Linked DNA regions of Saccharomyces cerevisiae S288C. The protein of the gene in region 3 purifies or fractionates together with the protein of the main gene of each other region. This does not show direct contact. Each region holds a gene or a part of one and is shown on either strand. Other genes may lie near its edges.

Region 1 (2,994 bases), on a different chromosome or scaffold from region 3:
GTGGTCTGACATATTTTTTAGTGGATGTCATATCAGAGTCCGCTGAGGATGAATCAGTAAATGTATTACCTGACTCAGGTGATGGAGTGCTCAGAGGCGTTCCAACTGATGATGGATACTGCGGAAACTGTGATTGTGGCCCAGGTGGAAAGTACATAGGCGACATTTGATAAGGTGTATACGGAATCATAGATGGGTGTCCGTAAAATGACCAACCAGATGGATTGGCTTGGTTTTGGGTCATCATGCACTGCTGTGGGTACGGCCCATTCTGTGGAGGTGGTACTGAAGCAGGTTGAGGAGAGGCATGATGGGGGTTCTCTGGAACAGCTGATGAAGCAGGTGTTGTTGTCTGTTGAGAGTTAGCCTTAGTGGAAGCCTTCTCACATTCTTCTGTTTTGGAAGCTGAAACGTCTAACGGATCTTGATTTGTGTGGACTTCCTTAGAAGTAACCGAAGCACAGGCGCTACCATGAGAAATATGTGAATGTTGAGATAATTGTTGGGATTCCATTGTTGATAAAGGCTATAATATTAGGTATACAGAATATACTAGAAGTTCTCCTCGAGGATATAGGAATCCTCAAAATGGAATCTATATTTCTACATACTAATATTACGATTATTCCTCATTCCGTTTTATATGTTTATATTCATTGATCCTATTACATTATCAATCCTTGCGTTTCAGCTTCCTCTAACTTCGATGACAGCTTCTCATAACTTATGTCATCATCTTAACACCGTATATGATAATATATTGATAATATAACTATTAGTTGATAGACGATAGTGGATTTTTATTCCAACAGCAACATGTTAAAACGAAAGCTGATGTTTGGAAGCCGTCTCGAGTAGGCTATACCGACATATTTTCCCAGGAATATAAAGGAATTGTTGTTGCGATAAAGTTTGTGATCTGTTCTGATGCTGAAGGAACCTTGTACCCGAGAGAGTATAACTCCCGTCTCCATGATGTAAAAAGACTTGGGAGAACAGGACTGTCATTCACAGATAAAAAGGAGGCGTATTTACTCGAATTTAAAAACCAGGACGTTGTAGATCATGTTCATAAGTTAATCTTGCCTTTTAACACATCTTGGCAATCTAACTAGATTCGTCCAATTGTATTTTTACTTCAATAATCTTACATAATAATAAAAATTTTTCTATTTGTCCAAAAAAAAAAAAAATAAATAAAATAAAAAAAGCTACCGTAATTCATGCGTACAGTAACTGGCTTCCTTACTATACCAAGTTTATTCTTTGATTGCGCTGCCAAAATAGCCTGTCAAAATTTGCGCGGATGTATTTTCGACGTCAACGGTGCCATTATTTTTCTGTCACTGACACCTGTACTCCTGAACGGGTATCGGCATTTAGAACGCTGCCTCCAAATGTCTGGTGAACGTTCGTGAATATTCAGAGTGTCGTTATTGCAATGGAATGGCTGCCTTTGTGACGGCGTCAGGATAAATTGTGAGTCACTGAAACATATTCGGCAAAGTAAAAAAACGGACGTAAAAGATTCTTTCTTTATTCTTTTCACGACAGTCTACAAGTAACTGAAATAGCATACATTTACCAAAAAAATCGAAAAAAATGTTTAATACTACACCAATTAATATCGACAAATGGTTGAAGGAGAACGAAGGCCTTTTGAAACCACCGGTGAATAATTATTGCTTACATAAAGGGGGATTCACTGTGATGATTGTCGGTGGGCCTAATGAAAGAACCGGTTATCACATCAATCCAACTCCCGAATGGTTCTATCAAAAAAAAGGATCTATGCTTTTAAAGGTTGTGGATGAGACAGACGCTGAACCAAAGTTCATTGATATCATCATCAATGAAGGCGATTCATATTTATTGCCAGGAAATGTTCCTCACAGTCCTGTTCGGTTTGCTGATACTGTGGGTATTGTTGTGGAACAAGATAGGCCTGGGGGAGAAAACGATAAGATAAGGTGGTACTGTTCTCATTGTCGCCAAGTGGTCCACGAGAGTGAACTGCAAATGTTAGACTTAGGTACCCAAGTGAAAGAAGCCATTTTAGATTTTGAAAATGATGTCGAAAAGAGGACATGTTTCCATTGCAAGACGTTAAACTACGCACGCCCTCAATCTAATTAAGTATTAGAAGAGTTGTTAGTTGTACTTTTATAGCTCTCTTGTTACGTAAGATTGCGGCACTAAGATGCGGTGCCAATTTTTTTTTTTTTTCTCTTGATCAAAGCAGCTAGCTGTTCATCAAGATATGTAACGTTTTTAAGCACTGAACTAACAAGGGGAGCCAGTGAACGACTATGTCTTCACAAGATGTTCTGATACATTCAGATGATCCGTGCCATCCAGCAAATCTCATTTGCACGCTATGCAAGCAGTTTTTTCATAATAATTGGTGCACCGGAACTGGAGGTGGGATTTCAATAAAAGATCCTAACACGAATTATTATTATCTCGCCCCATCTGGGGTGCAGAAGGAGAAGATGATACCTGAGGATTTGTTTGTCATGGACGCTCAGACATTAGAGTATTTGCGCTCTCCCAAGCTTTACAAGCCAAGCGCATGTACTCCATTGTTCTTAGCGTGCTACCAAAAGAAAAATGCAGGTGCTATAATACATACACACTCCCAAAATGCTGTGATATGCTCCTTGCTATTTGGCGATGAGTTCAGGATTGCTAACATCGAACAAATCAAAGCAATTCCAAGCGGAAAGGTGGACCCTGTGACCAAGAAACCCATGGCGCTATCGTTTTTTGATACGCTGAAGATTCCCATCATTGAAAACATGGCGCATGAGGACGAGTTGATCGATGACTTGCACAAGACTTTTAAAGATTATCCAGACACATGCGCCGTAATTGTGAGGAGACATGGCATTTTTGTTTGGGGTCCGACAATCGATAAGGCCAAAATTTTCAACGAAGCCATCGATTATTTGATGGAGCTGGCCATAAAGATGTACCAAATGGGGATTCCTCCCG
Region 2 (4,625 bases), on a different chromosome or scaffold from region 3:
TTGCTAGGCGATGAGCATCGACAGTTTTATACGTAAATCAATGGTTAGATAGATAATATTAATAACATACAAGACAATTTTTGCTTCGATTAAAGTGTTGGCACGAATTATTGTTGCGGTTCACCAACCACTATACATTTTTTCTCTTCCTTCCGCATCTTTATCTGGCCCCGGTAGGTCATGAAGTCTAGTAAGCAATTGGTTCAGGACGCTAAGGATTATCGCTTCAATCCGGCGATACCATTGAGAATTTACCTGAAAACATGCATCGGCATATTGGAAAAGGCACAGTGTGCGTTCCAGGCCAACGACTTGTCGCTGTCGTTTATTTATTATTTTAGATATGTGGATTTATTGACTAACAAACTATCTAGACACCCTGAGCTTTTGCGCATGGATGCGTCGTCGTCATCGTCGTCATCGTATATTCATAAAAGAGAATACCTGCAACTCATAAAGTTGGAAGTGCCTGCGGTCTGCAAAATTATTGAAAGCTTACGCACCCAAATTGATTCTCAATACAGCAAATTGCAAACATCACTCGCTAATAATATAGCCAAGCCGAACATAAACGCAAACACAACTCCCGTGCAGGTGGAGCAACAACCACTGCCGAAGAAATCTTTCGACGAGTATAGCTTCAACCAATCAATTTCTTTTTTCCAGAAAATTTCAAACGCACAACTTAATACCGGAGCAAGCTCTCAGAGTCAGGCCACTGCCCGTGATGAAGCCTACAGACTGAATTATCCGGAGCTACCACGCCTTACATTCTCCACATAGCATCCTTTTTTTTTTTTTTTTTCCATACCATACGAACATACATAACCTTACATACAATATTACATGATTACTCTGTTACAACACGTCTCCCCTTCTTGGTCTTGACCATTGTACTTTGGCTGGTATGTCCAATAGAGTCGCGTGCGCTACAACTTCGTCCTTGTGGGTCATGAGGTTCGTCAGCTTATCCATCTTCTTGTTCAACTTCATTAAATACAGCAGATTTAACACCAAGAGCACCAAGATTATTATGTTCACCCAGTTAAACCTCCATCTGTCGCTGCCTATTTCTGAGATTTCCGCCTCAGCTTCTGGTTTCGACTCCGGCTGTACCATCGTCAGCTCCGGTGCTGCCACTTTCCTAGGTGATCCAAAAGATGTAACACTGGGCAACGGCTTGAGTGTATCTGCTTTTTCTTTGCTCAATTCCACGTATTTCTCTACAAATTCTTCGACTAACTTTACCAAGTCCTTAGTGGCGCTAATTTGTCCATTTTTACAATTGCTCTCTACCATTGGCTTGATCCAACTGGATGCGTTCCAGTCCACCCAAAAACTTATTTTTAATATGCAACCTTGCCCCTGGTCATCCCATCGGAACATGTACCTCGTTCTGGTGCTGAAACTGGTACCACTAGGAACATTTGGTGTTCTTGTTATACTTAAAACATTTATGTACCTTTCCCAGTCGCAGTGTAAAAGAATTTCCGCTACCTCACAGTTTGTGGATTTGGGCCCCACAGGGAAATGCAGCTGTTTGGTGTATTGGAATTCTCTGTAATGTTGTCCATCTTTATTGACTTTTTCAAAAGTCCCTATGTGTGAGATGTTGGACGAATCTTGAGTTTTCAAAAAGCTTAACTCAAAAACTGGATTATCTTCATTGAACATCATAATGAAAAGTAGGCCGGGTGGAACGCTGAATTGACGTTCCAGAAGCACGTATTCATTATTAGCCTCAGGTTTATAAGGAAAGTCCATGGTTTCTTGTACATGGAATGGCCCCTCATATTGAAATGGTGCGTTTGGCTTTAACCTATATACGGGCCTACAATAATAAGTTGTTGAAGAGCCTAAAGACGATGACGACGATGACGACGAAGATGAAGAAGATGGCGATGCTCTTGGTGTGCCCATGTAATCGTCCACGGACCTTATGGCCTCCTCGATGAGCATGTCGTTCTCGCTCATGTAGGAAGCCCTGCTTGTTGGTTCAGTAGTGGTTGTCGATATGAAATCGTTATATGCATTGGTAGAAACATTGTTGAATATGGAAGAAGGGGTCGATGATATTCCCTTTTTCTTGGAGACCCTCTCATCAACCTCCAAAACGTCATTGATATTGGTTAAGTTTTCCTTTGACCAAACTCTTGTAATCAATTGGAAAACCTCGTCTCTCGCTATGAATCCGGAAAAAGTGTACCTGTTAGTCACGGTTTCCACCGAAATAGCACTTGAATTTGTGGTGACCTTATCTAAATATTTAATTTCATTCAAGGGAATCTGTAACTTTGCCATCCAGTTCAACACGGTTGAGTTGAAACATAAATGTGTGTTGGAGAGATAGATTCTGCCCTGATAGGGGAATTCTCTGTGGAAGTAGCAGAAGTAGTCCGTAATAAGTCTCGTATTAGGAGCTAATGGCTTGAACATTTGGCGGAATTTTTTATTAGCCTCCTCGGATGCAAACTGGACCTCAATATTTTTGACTTCATTAGTAACCGTATCTTGTGAATTTGATTTTAGGGAAAACGTGCTCAGTACGGTGTCAAAAAATGATGATCTCGACGAACAGTTAGAAATAGACGGCCTCTTGGCATCTCCATCAACCCCATCACTGTCCCCATTCGTCGAAGTGGCCATGATAATATTATTTACAGACGTCAAAGCTGTCTCGCCACCGCCACGATGATTGTCCAAGATAGAATTAACATCAGACAAGTGCGGGTCTGCCGGCGACGATTTCAACCCATTCAATGGCACTGAACCATCCCTACCGGGCGAAATCAACATATGTTCGGTAGAAGACTTCTGAAAGCTCTTACCCTTAATAAATTTTCTGGCACCATCCATGCCACCTTCTTCCACCACCGGCTTCACTGCATTCAACTCATTATCCATAGCGTCACCAAGCTCGCGCATACTATCCCCCCACATTCTACAATTCAACGTACCATGCTCTCTTCATTGCGTTCAATTATTCTCTCTAGATGCCACTAAATTTAATTACTTTGTCCCGCTTATTGTTAACTAAACGATTGTCCCATCGCACGGTCGCTGGTTCAAGTAAAAACGGTGAATTTTTCAATTGTTTAGTAGAGGTCTGTTGTAAAGATCATCAGAAAAAGAGTTAAAAAGTGGCAGGAAAGTATAGGGTTTTCTTGGCTGGGCAATGACTACCACGATAGGATCCCCACAAATGCTGGCTAATGAGGAGAGACTTTCTAACGAGATGCACGCACTGAAGAACCGGTCCGAGCAGAATGGGCAAGAGCAACAGGGTCCCGTTAAGAACACTCAACTGCATGGCCCTTCTGCAACCGACCCGGAAACTACGGCCACCCAAAAAGAATCTCTAGAAATGGTACCGAAAGATACAAGTGCAGCGACTATGACAAGTGCGCCTCCGCCAGCGTTGCCGCATGTTGAGATTAATCAAGTCAGTCTGGCATTAGTAATAAGGAACTTGACGGTATTTACAATGAAGGAACTTGCTCAGTACATGAAAACTAATGTTCACACCCAGGCAAATGAGCCTAACTCCGCAAAGAAAATACGTTTCTTACAGCTGATTATATTCCTAAGGACACAATTTTTGAAACTTTACGTGCTTGTGAAATGGACCCGTACTATAAAACAAAACAACTTTCACGTACTAATCGATCTGTTGAACTGGTTTAGAACGACTAACATGAATGTCAACAATTGTATTTGGGCTTTGAAAAGCAGTCTAAACTCTATGACCAATGCTAAATTGCCCAACGTGGATTTGGTCACCGCTTTGGAAGTTTTGAGTCTTGGGAGGCCAAATCTACCTACACACAACTTTAAATTAAGCGGTGTCAGTAACTCTATGGATATGGTAGATGGAATGGCCAAAGTTCCCATTGGATTGATTTTACAGAGATTAAAAGATTTGAACTTGACTGTCTCAATAAAAATTGCATTAATGAACATTCCTAAACCATTAAACAGCTATCATATCAAAAACGGTAGAATCTACTTTACTGTCCCTAATGAATTTGAAATCCAGTTATCGACTGTTAATAGACAGTCCCCTCTGTTTTTTGTGGATTTAAAATTGTTGTTTAACACGGAAGCTGAACAAACTGTTTCAGCAGTTACAGAAGCTACTTCGACTAACGGCGATAGTGAGAACAATGAAGAAAACTCAAGTTCCAACGGAAATAACCTTCCTTTGAATAAGCCAAGATTAGAGAAGTTGATCAATGAAATTCTTTTGAAAAGTAATGATCCATTATTATCCCTATACAATTTTCTGCACAAATACGTGTTGACATTACAGCTATACATGGTTCATAGAGAGTTTTTAAAGCTGGCCAACGGCGGTAAATTTTCCAAAAGTAATTTGATCCATAACTATGACTCTAAAAAAAGTACAATTACAGTTAGATATTGGCTGAATGGGAAAATGGACAGTAAGGGTAAGATCACTATTGGCATTCAAAGAACAACAGAAAGTCTTATCTTAAAATGGGACAACCAGAGTGCATCAAGGGCCAAAAATATGCCTGTAATTTATAACAATATTGTATCTAATATCGAAGGGATTTTGGATGAAATTATGTTCAATCATGCTAGAATCATCAGATCGGAGCTGT
Region 3 (4,259 bases):
CCGGTTTATTGTCTACAATGGCACAGTTAATTAAGGCGCAGGTTGAGCATGAACCAATCTTCATTATTGTGTTGATCTTCGGTCTAGTGATTCTTGTAATGGCCACTTTTGTCTCCCATACCGTCGCGGCAATGATCATCGTACCATTAATGAGTGAGATCGGTTCCAATCTACCTTCAGGTGATCATTCTAGACTATTGATCGTTATAGCCGCCCTATTATGCTCTAGTGCTATGGGTCTTCCAACCTCTGGTTTCCCCAACGTGACTGCCATTTCAATGATTGATGAAGTTGGTGATAGATATTTGACCGTGGGTACATTTATTACGAGAGGTGTACCAGCCAGTTTGTTAAGTTATGCCGCTATTGTTACAGTAGGTTATGGCATATTGAAAGTAATGGGATTTTAAGATTATCCATAGAGAGAATGAAAGGTTACTAATATAGTATGTATACGTGCACTATTATTTAATTTTACTTTATATTGCCTCTAATTATTCTCAATCACAACCAAAATACTTTGAATCAAAAAATCTGGTCAATGCCCATTTGTATTGATGATTTTGTAACTTTTCTCTGGAGATGATCATACCAGCAAAAATGTTGACTTTGTTATCAAATGCATTTAATATACGTCGGATACCAACTTCAGTGGCCAAATAAACCACCACGCTAATCTTTTCCAAATCAATACCATGATCTAAAAGCACCTGGATGGCCATGATCATGGCCGCACCACTTATGATTTGACCTTCCATTAAGAAAACCTTGCCAAACTTTTCTATATTTGGGGGTAAAAATTCGCAATGCAGTTGAGGTTCCCCAGTTTGTGAATCGGACTGAATCAACAATTTACCAATTGTGATATTGGGGATCGTCTTTCTCAAAGACTTCATAAAACAATCGCCAGATCGAATAATATTAACAGCTGTAACTTGATCGAATTGACAGGCAATAACGTTTTCCATGGTATGCTCACCAGGTGTAATTATGTTCGTATGTGCTACAGGAATGTCATCAAGTGCCCATGATAACAAAATTGTTGCTAACCTGTCAAAGTAGAAAACAAAGTCCGCGCAATTTAGATTTTTATTTAGAAGCATAGTATGCAGCGAAAGAACTTGGTTGGTGGGCGGCAATTCATGAATTATGTTACGATTAAGCACATCTTGTGAAGGAGAAGAGCCCAATTTGATTAGCTCTCTTAAGTGTTCATTTGATTTTAGTTCCAGTTTTGACTTGATGTGGTTAATGATTAAATTTACCGCTGTAGCATTATCACTCATCGATGGAATGATAGCATCTGCATTCTTCATTGTTGGTTTCACAAACTTTACCGCATTTGGTTTCACAAATTTCTCCCATTGTTGAATACAACCATCCAAATCTCTCCCTCTGGAAACTATATCTCTCGACAATCTTCTTGCTAAGCAGACATCCAAATCAGCGTCAACATAAATTTTCAAGTCCATCAAATCCAGCAATCGGCGATCGTAAAGGGCGTAGATCCCTTCGATAACTACCACACTGGCCCCGTATATGACTATATTTTTATCAGGAACTCTATTGTGGTGGACGAAGCTATAAACTGGGATATTTGTCCTTTTGCCCTCCTTTAAGTTCAAAATGCACTTATATGCCAAATCTAAGTTGATGGCATTTGGCTCGTCGAAATCGTATTCATTTTTAAAGGCTCTGGCTCTGTCCTCTGGGCCTAATGGATTGTAAAAGTTATCCAAAGATATTAATACTGTCCAGGGAACATTAATTGACGACACAATCTTAGCAGCAACGCTTGTCTTGCCTGAACCTGAAGCACCACCTATACCTATTATATATGGAGTTGTCCATGGTGGGATATACCGAGAGCTTTTTCCTTTTGTTTTTTTGACATCTACTTCACCATCCATGACTGCATTAGCTTTCAATGTGTCTCTTGTTTCATCGTCTAAAATTGAAATAAATGATGAAGATCGTTCTTTGGAAGGTGCTATACGATGGGACATAATAAATAAAATAAATGCGAGTTCGAAATTAAACGTATGAAATTATCGAAGATGTCGCATATAAATAGTAAATAAGACGTTATCCAAGGCCTACAGCCTTACGAAAAAAAAAAAAAATCACATCTCTTATCTTATCGATCTAAATTTTTCAGTTTCCTTTTTTCATCTCGAAGCTCATCGCATGAAAAAAAAACTTCGATATGTGAGCGTATTAAGACAATAGAGGAAATAGTGAGAACAAGTGGGAAAATTAAAGACTAATCATCGAAAATATGCAAGAATTCTTTAAGTGCTCGTATCTCAAATGTAGCCAAAACAGTACTAGCCCATACAACCTGATGACGAGAACGTGCTGAAAGTGGAAGACAGTTAGTTACCCGGACAATTAAAAAGTGATATTAATCAATTGTATAAGTAATAACGGATAGCTGCTATATGTTTAATTGGCATCTATATAGATAACAAGCGTGTATAGCAACACATGTCAAGTATTACATCTGAAACCGGTAAGCGAAGAGTGAAACGAACGTATGAAGTTACAAGACAGAATGACAATGCAGTAAGAATAGAGCCTTCTTCCTTGGGTGAGGAAGAAGACAAAGAGGCCAAGGATAAGAACTCTGCCTTGCAGCTAAAACGATCACGCTATGACCCCAATAAAGTTTTTTCTAATACGAACCAAGGTCCAGAAAAGAACAATTTAAAAGGAGAACAACTTGGATCACAAAAAAAGTCATCAAAGTATGATGAAAAAATAACGTCAAATAATGAACTTACTACAAAGAAGGGTCTACTAGGTGACTCCGAGAATGAAACTAAGTACGCCTCTTCTAATTCTAAATTTAACGTAGAAGTTACTCATAAAATAAAGAATGCAAAAGAAATTGACAAAATAAACAGACAACGCATGTGGGAAGAACAACAATTGCGAAATGCTATGGCGGGGCAAAGCGATCACCCTGATGATATAACATTGGAAGGCTCTGACAAGTACGATTATGTGTTCGACACAGATGCAATGATTGATTATACTAATGAGGAGGACGATTTACTACCTGAAGAGAAACTTCAATATGAGGCACGTCTAGCACAAGCTTTAGAAACTGAGGAAAAGCGTATACTGACTATACAAGAGGCAAGAAAACTTTTGCCTGTACATCAATACAAGGATGAGCTACTACAAGAGATCAAAAAAAATCAAGTTTTGATTATAATGGGTGAAACCGGTTCTGGTAAAACCACACAGTTACCCCAATATTTGGTAGAAGATGGATTCACTGATCAGGGAAAGTTACAGATTGCCATAACACAACCACGTCGTGTGGCGGCCACTTCTGTTGCTGCAAGAGTAGCAGATGAAATGAATGTTGTGCTTGGGAAGGAAGTGGGTTATCAGATCCGTTTTGAAGACAAAACAACCCCAAATAAAACGGTTCTAAAGTATATGACGGATGGTATGTTACTAAGAGAATTTCTTACAGATTCCAAATTAAGCAAATATTCTTGTATTATGATTGATGAAGCTCATGAACGTACTCTAGCCACAGATATCCTGATAGGTTTGCTGAAAGATATTTTGCCGCAGAGGCCCACTTTAAAATTGCTTATATCATCAGCAACAATGAACGCAAAAAAATTTTCAGAGTTTTTTGATAATTGTCCCATTTTCAACGTTCCTGGGAGAAGATATCCTGTAGATATCCACTACACATTACAGCCGGAGGCAAACTATATACATGCCGCTATAACAACTATTTTTCAAATTCATACTACGCAAAGTTTACCGGGGGATATATTGGTGTTTTTAACGGGGCAAGAAGAAATTGAAAGAACAAAAACCAAACTGGAGGAGATCATGTCTAAATTAGGTTCTAGAACAAAACAAATGATTATAACTCCTATATACGCAAATTTACCCCAAGAGCAGCAATTGAAAATTTTCCAGCCGACTCCGGAAAATTGTAGGAAAGTTGTTTTGGCAACTAATATTGCGGAAACTTCATTGACCATTGATGGTATTAGATATGTCATTGATCCTGGATTTGTTAAGGAAAATTCGTACGTACCCTCCACTGGAATGACCCAACTTTTAACAGTTCCATGCTCAAGAGCTTCAGTTGATCAGCGTGCCGGTAGGGCTGGTCGTGTTGGGCCGGGAAAATGTTTTAGAATTTTTACCAAATGGTCATATTTGCACGAGTTGGAACTTATGCCTAAGCCTGAGATCACAAGAACAAATCTTTCTAATACGGT

Evidence for each region.
Region 1: the proteins of URK1 (region 3) and BNA1 purify together in Saccharomyces cerevisiae (affinity purification with mass spectrometry, with the first as the bait; one large-scale study listed by BioGRID). This does not show direct contact.
Region 2: the proteins of URK1 (region 3) and LAM6 purify together in Saccharomyces cerevisiae (affinity purification with mass spectrometry, with the first as the bait; one large-scale study listed by BioGRID). This does not show direct contact.

Annotation. Positions count from the first base shown.
Region 1 is NC_001142.9:470,280-473,273, reverse strand, and holds BNA1 (3-hydroxyanthranilate 3,4-dioxygenase), read left to right. Parts: upstream 1-1,602; coding exon 1,603-2,136; downstream 2,137-2,994. Other genes in the region: YJR026W (gag protein), read right to left, coding at 1-514; methylthioribulose 1-phosphate dehydratase MDE1, read left to right, coding at 2,310-2,994.
Region 2 is NC_001144.5:277,177-281,801, reverse strand, and holds LAM6 (Lam6p), read right to left. Parts: upstream 2,941-4,625; coding exon 859-2,940; downstream 1-858. Other genes in the region: RFU1 (Rfu1p), read left to right, coding at 181-783; RGR1 (Rgr1p), read left to right, coding at 3,176-4,625.
Region 3 is NC_001146.8:645,179-649,437, reverse strand, and holds URK1 (uridine kinase URK1), read right to left. Parts: upstream 2,007-4,259; coding exon 501-2,006; downstream 1-500. Other genes in the region: PHO91 (Pho91p), read left to right, coding at 1-410; DEAH-box RNA-dependent ATPase PRP2, read left to right, coding at 2,488-4,259. UniProt on the Saccharomyces cerevisiae protein: Catalyzes the conversion of uridine into UMP and cytidine into CMP in the pyrimidine salvage pathway.